Linked DNA regions of Saccharomyces cerevisiae S288C. The main gene of each other region encodes a partner of the protein of the gene in region 2 in a complex. Each region holds a gene or a part of one and is shown on either strand. Other genes may lie near its edges. A codon is read from its position in the direction of its gene.

Region 1 (4,165 bases), on a different chromosome or scaffold from region 2:
TATGGATGTCCTGGCTAAGTTGATCATTTCAAAGCAAAAAGATGGATCACAATTACAAGTTGAGTACGAGCATAAGTTGAAAGAATTAGAGAAATTCATTAACCTACTACTGGGATTGCATGAAAGCACTGTGGGAAGTATGATGAATACTAGTGTTCTTGACATGGTACTGCGGAATGGAATAGAGATCATGGAAAAAGACGATCAAAAATATGCCCTGATACCGATTAAAGCCAAGGAAGAGGCAGATAAAACTACGAGCACTATTCAGGGAGTAACCAGCAAAAAGAGTAGTAAAAAGAAAAAAAATAAGATAAAATGTTCATTTTGTCACGAGGCTGGCCACACAAGGGCACACTGCGGTGCGAGACTGACAGTTATACCCAAGAAATAATGAAGGGATCATCGAAGCATTAGACCTACATCTACCTTACTAAGATTGTAAGTACATAGCATGTGTACTGATGTGTTCAGTAGCATTCTTCCATATATTATACTACATAAGGTATGTAAATTTATGTATTTATATATGGAAAAAAGAAATTGAAAGAAAAGAAAAGGAAAGATACTTAGTTATGAATCAATCAGAATACGCATATAACAAAAAAAAAAAGTGGAATGAGAAAGGAATAAAGGATAATCTTTTCCCCTATATTTTTGTATTGGTTTTTTTTTGGCAAATATTTTCTTGTTTTCTGTAATTCATGTCATTTATTGGTAACTCATTTGCCAAGAACATTATCGGAAAAAATAAGTTTACCCTCCAATTGCTGCTTTAGTCGTAAAGGTATGAATTTACTGCTTTTCTTGTTCTTGTCTTTGTTTTAGAACTAATGGGTGGCCTGTTACTCTGAAGTAAATATCTTTAACATCGTCAGTCATGGATTCGAAATGAGAGGATGCGTCGTATGATCTGGATAAGTAAATGTTATCCTTAGAGCCGTCTTCTCTTGGTTCAAATAATTCGGCAATTCCCATGAATTTTTCTTCGATTGGTCCCAGAAGTTTGAAAGCAGGCTCTAATTCTATATGTGGTTTATCAGTTTCAATGATTGTAGAAATAATTGCTAAATAGTGACCCTTGGAGCAAACGTTATGCGCATCTGAAACAATCGCAACGTATATATCGCTTTTCCTTCCCAGTTGGCTTTGTGGGATAATAATTTGTAAAGAATCCGCGTTACTGGTGTTCGGAACTGGATGGTTAAGAATACAGATGGCTCTAATAACTCTTTGACCAGTAGATTTACATTTTTCGGGAAAATAAGTTGGATCAGCAATAACCAATGGGGCCTTGAAAGTTCCCAGCTTAGTCTTGACCCCTTCAAATTTTCCTGTGTCTTTTTTATACAATACTTCATCAATTGGAGTGTCTAGCATGTAAGTACCACCGTAAATAGCCGACAAACGAGCAAATCCTTGTGGAAGTTCGCCTAACCCATACATAGGATACAAATAAGGTGATTTACCGTAACGGGCAACACTTTGGCAATATAACAAAATCCTCTCAAACGATGGCCTAGCAGGTTGTTGTAAGTAGTCATCATTGGTCCATAAAGCCATTGCATGACCGATGAATTCTTTGGTAGAATTGCCTAACCCAAATTTATAATACACTTCATCCATGGTATTCTTGTCTAAGTCTAATCCTTGATGAGTGGACAAGTCATCTTCTTTGTAAGAGCTAATCCATTCTAAAAATTTCTTCATTCTACGTTTTTCAAAAATACCCATCAATGGCGATGAAATGGCTTCTATTTCATTAGCTGGCACTTTGTAAATTTTGCCTTGCTTAAAAACGTAGGAGCCAGAAACTTGCTTGAAATCGACATATCTGGTCACATCGGTATGTATTAAAATATTTGTCAGCTCACCATTGGCCATCAGGAATTTAGGAATTAAGTCGACATTCCAATCTCTATCTTTACCAAACTTGGACTCCCGTTCCTCTTTACTGATCGGATTTTGTTTAAATTTTTCATACAATTGAGATAAGGTCACAGAAGCAGCTTCGCCACCATAATGGTCTTGCTTGTCAATATGTAATACCTTTTTTCCATCTACAGAGAGTAAACCAGATAAGATACATTCGGTAATACCGGTACCTAAGACAATCACGTCGTAGTCAGTGTCTATTGTTTCTTGATCCATTGTGTTATGCTATATAAGTGGTTATTCACTAACAGTTATGATGGAAGGGGAGTAAAGAAAAGGAAAAGACTAATTGCAGTCCTGCTTTGAAAAATATCCTTCCTTGAAAAAAGACTATGTTAGAAATTTGATGGGACGACGTCTCAAGCAAGAATGAAGTAGAACCTTTTCTACTAACAAAATCGGGATAAATCAGCCGACGTGTTGAAACTACATCTACAATCCCTCGCTGAAGCTTCCCACGGCCAAGATTTTGGAGCCCACAGGAGAGGGGAAAACACCGCCAATGTGAGATAAACGATTCAAACATAAGGGTAACCTAAAGATAACGGTTTTGAGCGTTTACGGCCTACTTTACTATGCAACAGCAGATGTTGGATAATAGAGAAGTTTGAGTGATAGATTGTAGAAAGTACAAGAATATGGGTGTATTACGGGAGTTAACAGAGGTATGTACTTTATCAAATGTGGTCTGATATTTTTTTCTTGAAAACAGTCTTGGCTATGTAATTTTTTAAGTTTTGCGCCTTTAGCTCATGTTTAGTTTCTGGTGGGGGAAGCGGTAATTATTTTAAAGTAGCCAACATAAGCAAAATATATGGAGAAAAAGAAGAATACCGTCGGAACCGCTAAAAGTATGTTTTTGTTACAGGATTGTAAAGCTTGTATCGCTTGGCAAGAGTTTGATTGGCCATTCTTGTAACTATTAGTTATTAAGCGGATTTGTCTCTTTTCAACTAGTTTCGAAGATGTCTCAAGAGATTGGAAGTAAACATTGCTTAGTATGAAAGGAATGCCCTTTGTAAATTAACGTAAATTATAACGTTTTCGAAAAAAAAAATTGATTTCGCCCAGGATCGAACTGGGGACGTTCTGCGTGTTAAGCAGATGCCATAACCGACTAGACCACGAAACCTAATTTGTTGAAAAAGTTTCATTAAAAAATAGAATATATCTACAATTCTTAAGATTTACACATGAAATTGTGGAGATGAAGCTCTAAAATATCATTGCTCAGTTATATCGTGTAATTAGTGTATTATCACGTACGGTGTAAAGAGGATGACATGAAAATCGAGAAATAGTCATCAAACCTCTTATCCCGAAAATGACAATACGTCAGGAACATATACACCACTTAATGAAGGGTAATTGATTATATCCCAATAAAGTGAATCTTAGTTTATTCGAAGTTAGTTGTCGATTGTCGTTTGAATATCCCCTTTGAGTTTAACGACCACAAATGCAAGGTTGATTAAAATCTTTCAAGCATGACATGGACTTTAAGAAACTTACATAATTCACAGAAAAAGGTCTTGGTCGATATTACAATTTGGTTAGCACTTTCTCCATACGGTGACATGGCGTTATTTACAAGTTTTGAGAATATAATCGGCGAATATTATAGGTACTCTATACTACCGTTACATCAAAACTTACACAAGTTACTATTCACTCTTTTTCTAATATGCCTCGCTAGTTGGAAAGAGGGAAACAGATCTTGCAGATATAAATGGCAGAAATTTGTGTGCAACAAGCTAAATTCTCCTGAAACAAATTTCGTACCCATTCGCACCTCAGTGAATAAGAACTCTAAAATGATTGTTGAAAAGCAGATAAGCATTCATATTTCTTTAAAGTGTATTGTTTACAAAGAATACTAAGGGATTGAGTAGAATATTTTTCACGCACTAGAAGAAGGACCTGCCGAAAAGGAGACCTTCTCGAGAAACAAGCATTTTTGTCCTTAAACTTACAAAGAGAACAATTTTGTTACAAATCCTGCTCCAAAATAGTCTCAACGCGTTTATTATGACTGGATACCCTGACGTGGCCGCCTTCGATTTGGACTACACCATTTGGCCCTGCTATTGTGATACCCATTTGCACGGTCCCTTTAAGCCAGTTAAAAGTAGTAATGGCGAAGTTCTCACAATTATATGTAGAGATGGTTACGAGCTCACAATCTACAAAGATATCCCACGTATACTAGGTGATCTTAAAGATAATGGAG
Region 2 (2,818 bases):
CATCTTGGTTTTGTGGAGCACCAAAATCGCCATTTTCGTCGACTTCTTCATCATCTTCTACAGTAGCCTCTTGGTATTGTTGGTATTCGCTAACCAGATCATTCATATTAGATTCAGCCTCAGAGAATTCCAATTCGTCCATACCTTCACTAGTATACCAGTGCAAGAAAGCTTTTCTTTTGAACATAGCGGAAAATTGGTCACCAACTCTCTTGAATAGCTCTTGAATAGATGTGGAGTTAGCAATGAAAGTAGCAGCCATGTCCAAACCTTGAGGAGCGACAGAACACACAGCAGTTTGCACATTGTTGGGGATCCATTCCACGAAATAGTCTGAGTTTTTAGATTGCACTTTATGCATTTCATCTTCCACCTCCTTAACGGAAACTTTACCTCTAAAGAAGGCTGCAACGGTAAGGTATCTACCGTTTCTTGGATCGGCAGCAGCCATCATGTTCTTGGCATCAAACATTTGCTGTGTTAATTCAGGGACAGTCAAAGATCTAAATGATTGAGAGCCAATTGCCGTCAATGGAGCGTAGCCGACCATGAAGAAATGTAAACGTGGGAATGGGACAAGATTAACAGCCAACTTTCTCAAATCAGAGTTCAATTGGCCGGGATAACGCAATGAAGTTGTCACACCAGACATGACGCTCGAGACCAAGTTGTTCAAATCTCCATAAGAAGGTTGATTCAACTTTAAGGTCCTTTGACAGATGTCATAAAGTGCTTCGTTATCGATACAGAATGTTTCATCAGAGTGTTCTACCAATTGGTGCACAGACAACGTGGCATTGTATGGTTCGACAACGGTGTCAGAAGTCTTCGGAGAGGGCAAGACGGAGAAGGTGGCCATCATACGATCAGGAAACTCTTCCCTAATCTTCGAGATCAAAAGCGTACCCATACCGGAACCGGTACCACCACCAAGAGAATGTGTGATCTGGAAACCTTGAAGGGAGTCGCATCCTTCGGCCTCTCGTCTAATAACATCCATGACGCTGTCTACAAGCTCAGCACCTTCTGTGTAGTGACCCTTGGCCCACACGTTGCCCGCAGAACTTTGCCCAAAGATATAATTGTCAGGTCTAAACAAATTCCCGATGGCAGAATTGCGTACTGCGTCAATCGTCCCAGGTTCTAGATCGACGTTAATAGATCTTGGAACCCACTTCCCAGAAGATGCCTCGTTGAAGTACACGTTCAGTCTCTCCTTCTGGATATCGTCATGGCCGTGATATGTCCCATTGAAATCCAAACCGTGCTCACCACAGATAGTTTCCCAGAATGCAGCACCAATTTGGTTACCACACTGACCTGTCGAGATATGAATGATTTCTCTCATTATATTACTTTGTGGAGATTTTGCTTTTGTAGTTGTAGTAGCTGCTATGTCACTCCAATTGCCTCACCACTACTTCACTTAGATCTATTAAAGTTTTCGTGTTTGTTTTAGTTTTTGTTGTTTTTTCTGTTTTTTTCCTTTTTCCTTGTGGCGTCGCCTAGGTCACTGTACACGTATATCGTGACCCGGCGCCAAATTCCTGATAGTACTATTTTTTTTGGCCCATGGGGGGAATAAAGAAAAAGAAGAGAAGCCAGAACAAATTCAGCGATTAAGTGCACCAGTTTTGAGGAGGATATCTTTACTGTTAGGCCCAGGTTGAAATAAATAAAACAAGAAAAGCACTAATATGAATAGCGAGTACGATTACCTGTTCAAACTGCTGTTGATCGGGAATTCCGGTGTCGGGAAGTCCTGTTTACTTTTGAGGTTTTCGGACGACACATATACCAACGACTACATCTCCACAATTGGAGTGGACTTCAAGATTAAGACTGTAGAACTGGACGGCAAGACTGTAAAGCTACAGATTTGGGACACTGCAGGTCAAGAACGTTTCCGTACTATCACTTCATCTTACTACCGTGGTTCGCATGGGATCATTATCGTGTATGATGTCACTGACCAAGAATCCTTCAACGGCGTGAAGATGTGGCTGCAAGAGATTGATCGGTATGCAACCTCAACAGTGTTGAAGCTATTGGTAGGTAACAAGTGTGATTTAAAGGACAAGCGTGTCGTGGAATATGACGTGGCAAAGGAATTTGCGGACGCGAATAAGATGCCGTTCTTAGAGACTAGTGCTTTGGACTCCACCAACGTCGAGGATGCGTTTTTAACCATGGCTAGACAAATCAAGGAAAGTATGTCCCAACAAAACCTGAACGAAACCACTCAGAAGAAGGAAGACAAAGGGAACGTCAACCTGAAGGGACAGAGTTTAACCAACACCGGTGGGGGCTGCTGTTGAACAAGCGCGCCTCTACCTTGCAGACCCATATAATATAATAACTAAATAAGTAAATAAGACACACGCGAGAACATATATACACAATTACAGTAACAATAACAAGAGGACAGATACTACCAAAATGTGTGGGGAAGCGGGTAAGCTGCCACAGCAATTAATGCACAACATTTAACCTACATTCTTCCTTATCGGATCCTCAAAACCCTTAAAAACATATGCCTCACCCTAACATATTTTCCAATTAACCCTCAATATTTCTCTGTCACCCGGCCTCTATTTTCCATTTTCTTCTTTACCCGCCACGCGTTTTTTTCTTTCAAATTTTTTTCTTCCTTCTTCTTTTTCTTCCACGTCCTCTTGCATAAATAAATAAACCGTTTTGAAACCAAACTCGCCTCTCTCTCTCCTTTTTGAAATATTTTTGGGTTTGTTTGATCCTTTCCTTCCCAATCTCTCTTGTTTAATATATATTCATTTATATCACGCTCTCTTTTTATCTT

The links.
Region 1: the proteins of YPT1 (region 2) and GDI1 are in contact, whole or in part, in a crystal structure (PDB 1UKV), measured with the Saccharomyces cerevisiae proteins. Residues at the interface, in NP_116615.1 of Saccharomyces cerevisiae: Thr40 (codon at 1,815), Ile41 (codon at 1,818), Gly42 (codon at 1,821), Val43 (codon at 1,824), Asp44 (codon at 1,827), Phe45 (codon at 1,830), Trp62 (codon at 1,881), Asp63 (codon at 1,884), Thr64 (codon at 1,887), Ala65 (codon at 1,890), Gln67 (codon at 1,896), Arg69 (codon at 1,902), Phe70 (codon at 1,905), Thr72 (codon at 1,911), Ile73 (codon at 1,914), Thr74 (codon at 1,917), Ser75 (codon at 1,920), Ser76 (codon at 1,923), Tyr77 (codon at 1,926), Arg79 (codon at 1,932), Gly80 (codon at 1,935), Asp107 (codon at 2,016), Arg108 (codon at 2,019), Tyr109 (codon at 2,022), Ala110 (codon at 2,025), Ser112 (codon at 2,031), Gly189 (codon at 2,262), Asn190 (codon at 2,265), Val191 (codon at 2,268), Asn192 (codon at 2,271); in NP_011062.1 of Saccharomyces cerevisiae: Thr5 (codon at 2,139), Ile6 (codon at 2,136), Tyr44 (codon at 2,022), Gln55 (codon at 1,989), Lys76 (codon at 1,926), Arg78 (codon at 1,920), Asn81 (codon at 1,911), Thr96 (codon at 1,866), Leu99 (codon at 1,857), Ile100 (codon at 1,854), Asp103 (codon at 1,845), Thr105 (codon at 1,839), Arg106 (codon at 1,836), Tyr107 (codon at 1,833), Asp109 (codon at 1,827), Phe110 (codon at 1,824), Lys111 (codon at 1,821), Gln112 (codon at 1,818), Ser156 (codon at 1,686), Cys221 (codon at 1,491), Gln222 (codon at 1,488), Ala225 (codon at 1,479), Arg226 (codon at 1,476), Tyr227 (codon at 1,473), Leu233 (codon at 1,455), Met236 (codon at 1,446), Tyr237 (codon at 1,443), Glu241 (codon at 1,431), Gln244 (codon at 1,422), Ala247 (codon at 1,413).

The regions. Positions count from the first base shown.
Region 1 is NC_001137.3:437,602-441,766, reverse strand, and holds GDI1 (Gdi1p), read right to left. Parts: upstream 2,152-4,165; coding exon 796-2,151; downstream 1-795. Other genes in the region: YER137C (uncharacterized protein), read left to right, coding at 1-394; YER135C (uncharacterized protein), read left to right, coding at 3,423-3,815; YER134C (Mg-dependent acid phosphatase), read left to right, coding at 3,964-4,165. UniProt on the Saccharomyces cerevisiae protein: Regulates the GDP/GTP exchange reaction of SEC4 by inhibiting the dissociation of GDP from it, and the subsequent binding of GTP to SEC4. Plays an essential role in the yeast secretory pathway.
Region 2 is NC_001138.5:54,866-57,683, reverse strand, and holds YPT1 (Rab family GTPase YPT1), read left to right. Parts: upstream 1-1,697; coding exon 1,698-2,318; downstream 2,319-2,818. Other genes in the region: TUB2 (beta-tubulin), read right to left, coding at 1-1,348. UniProt on the Saccharomyces cerevisiae protein: The small GTPases Rab are key regulators of intracellular membrane trafficking, from the formation of transport vesicles to their fusion with membranes.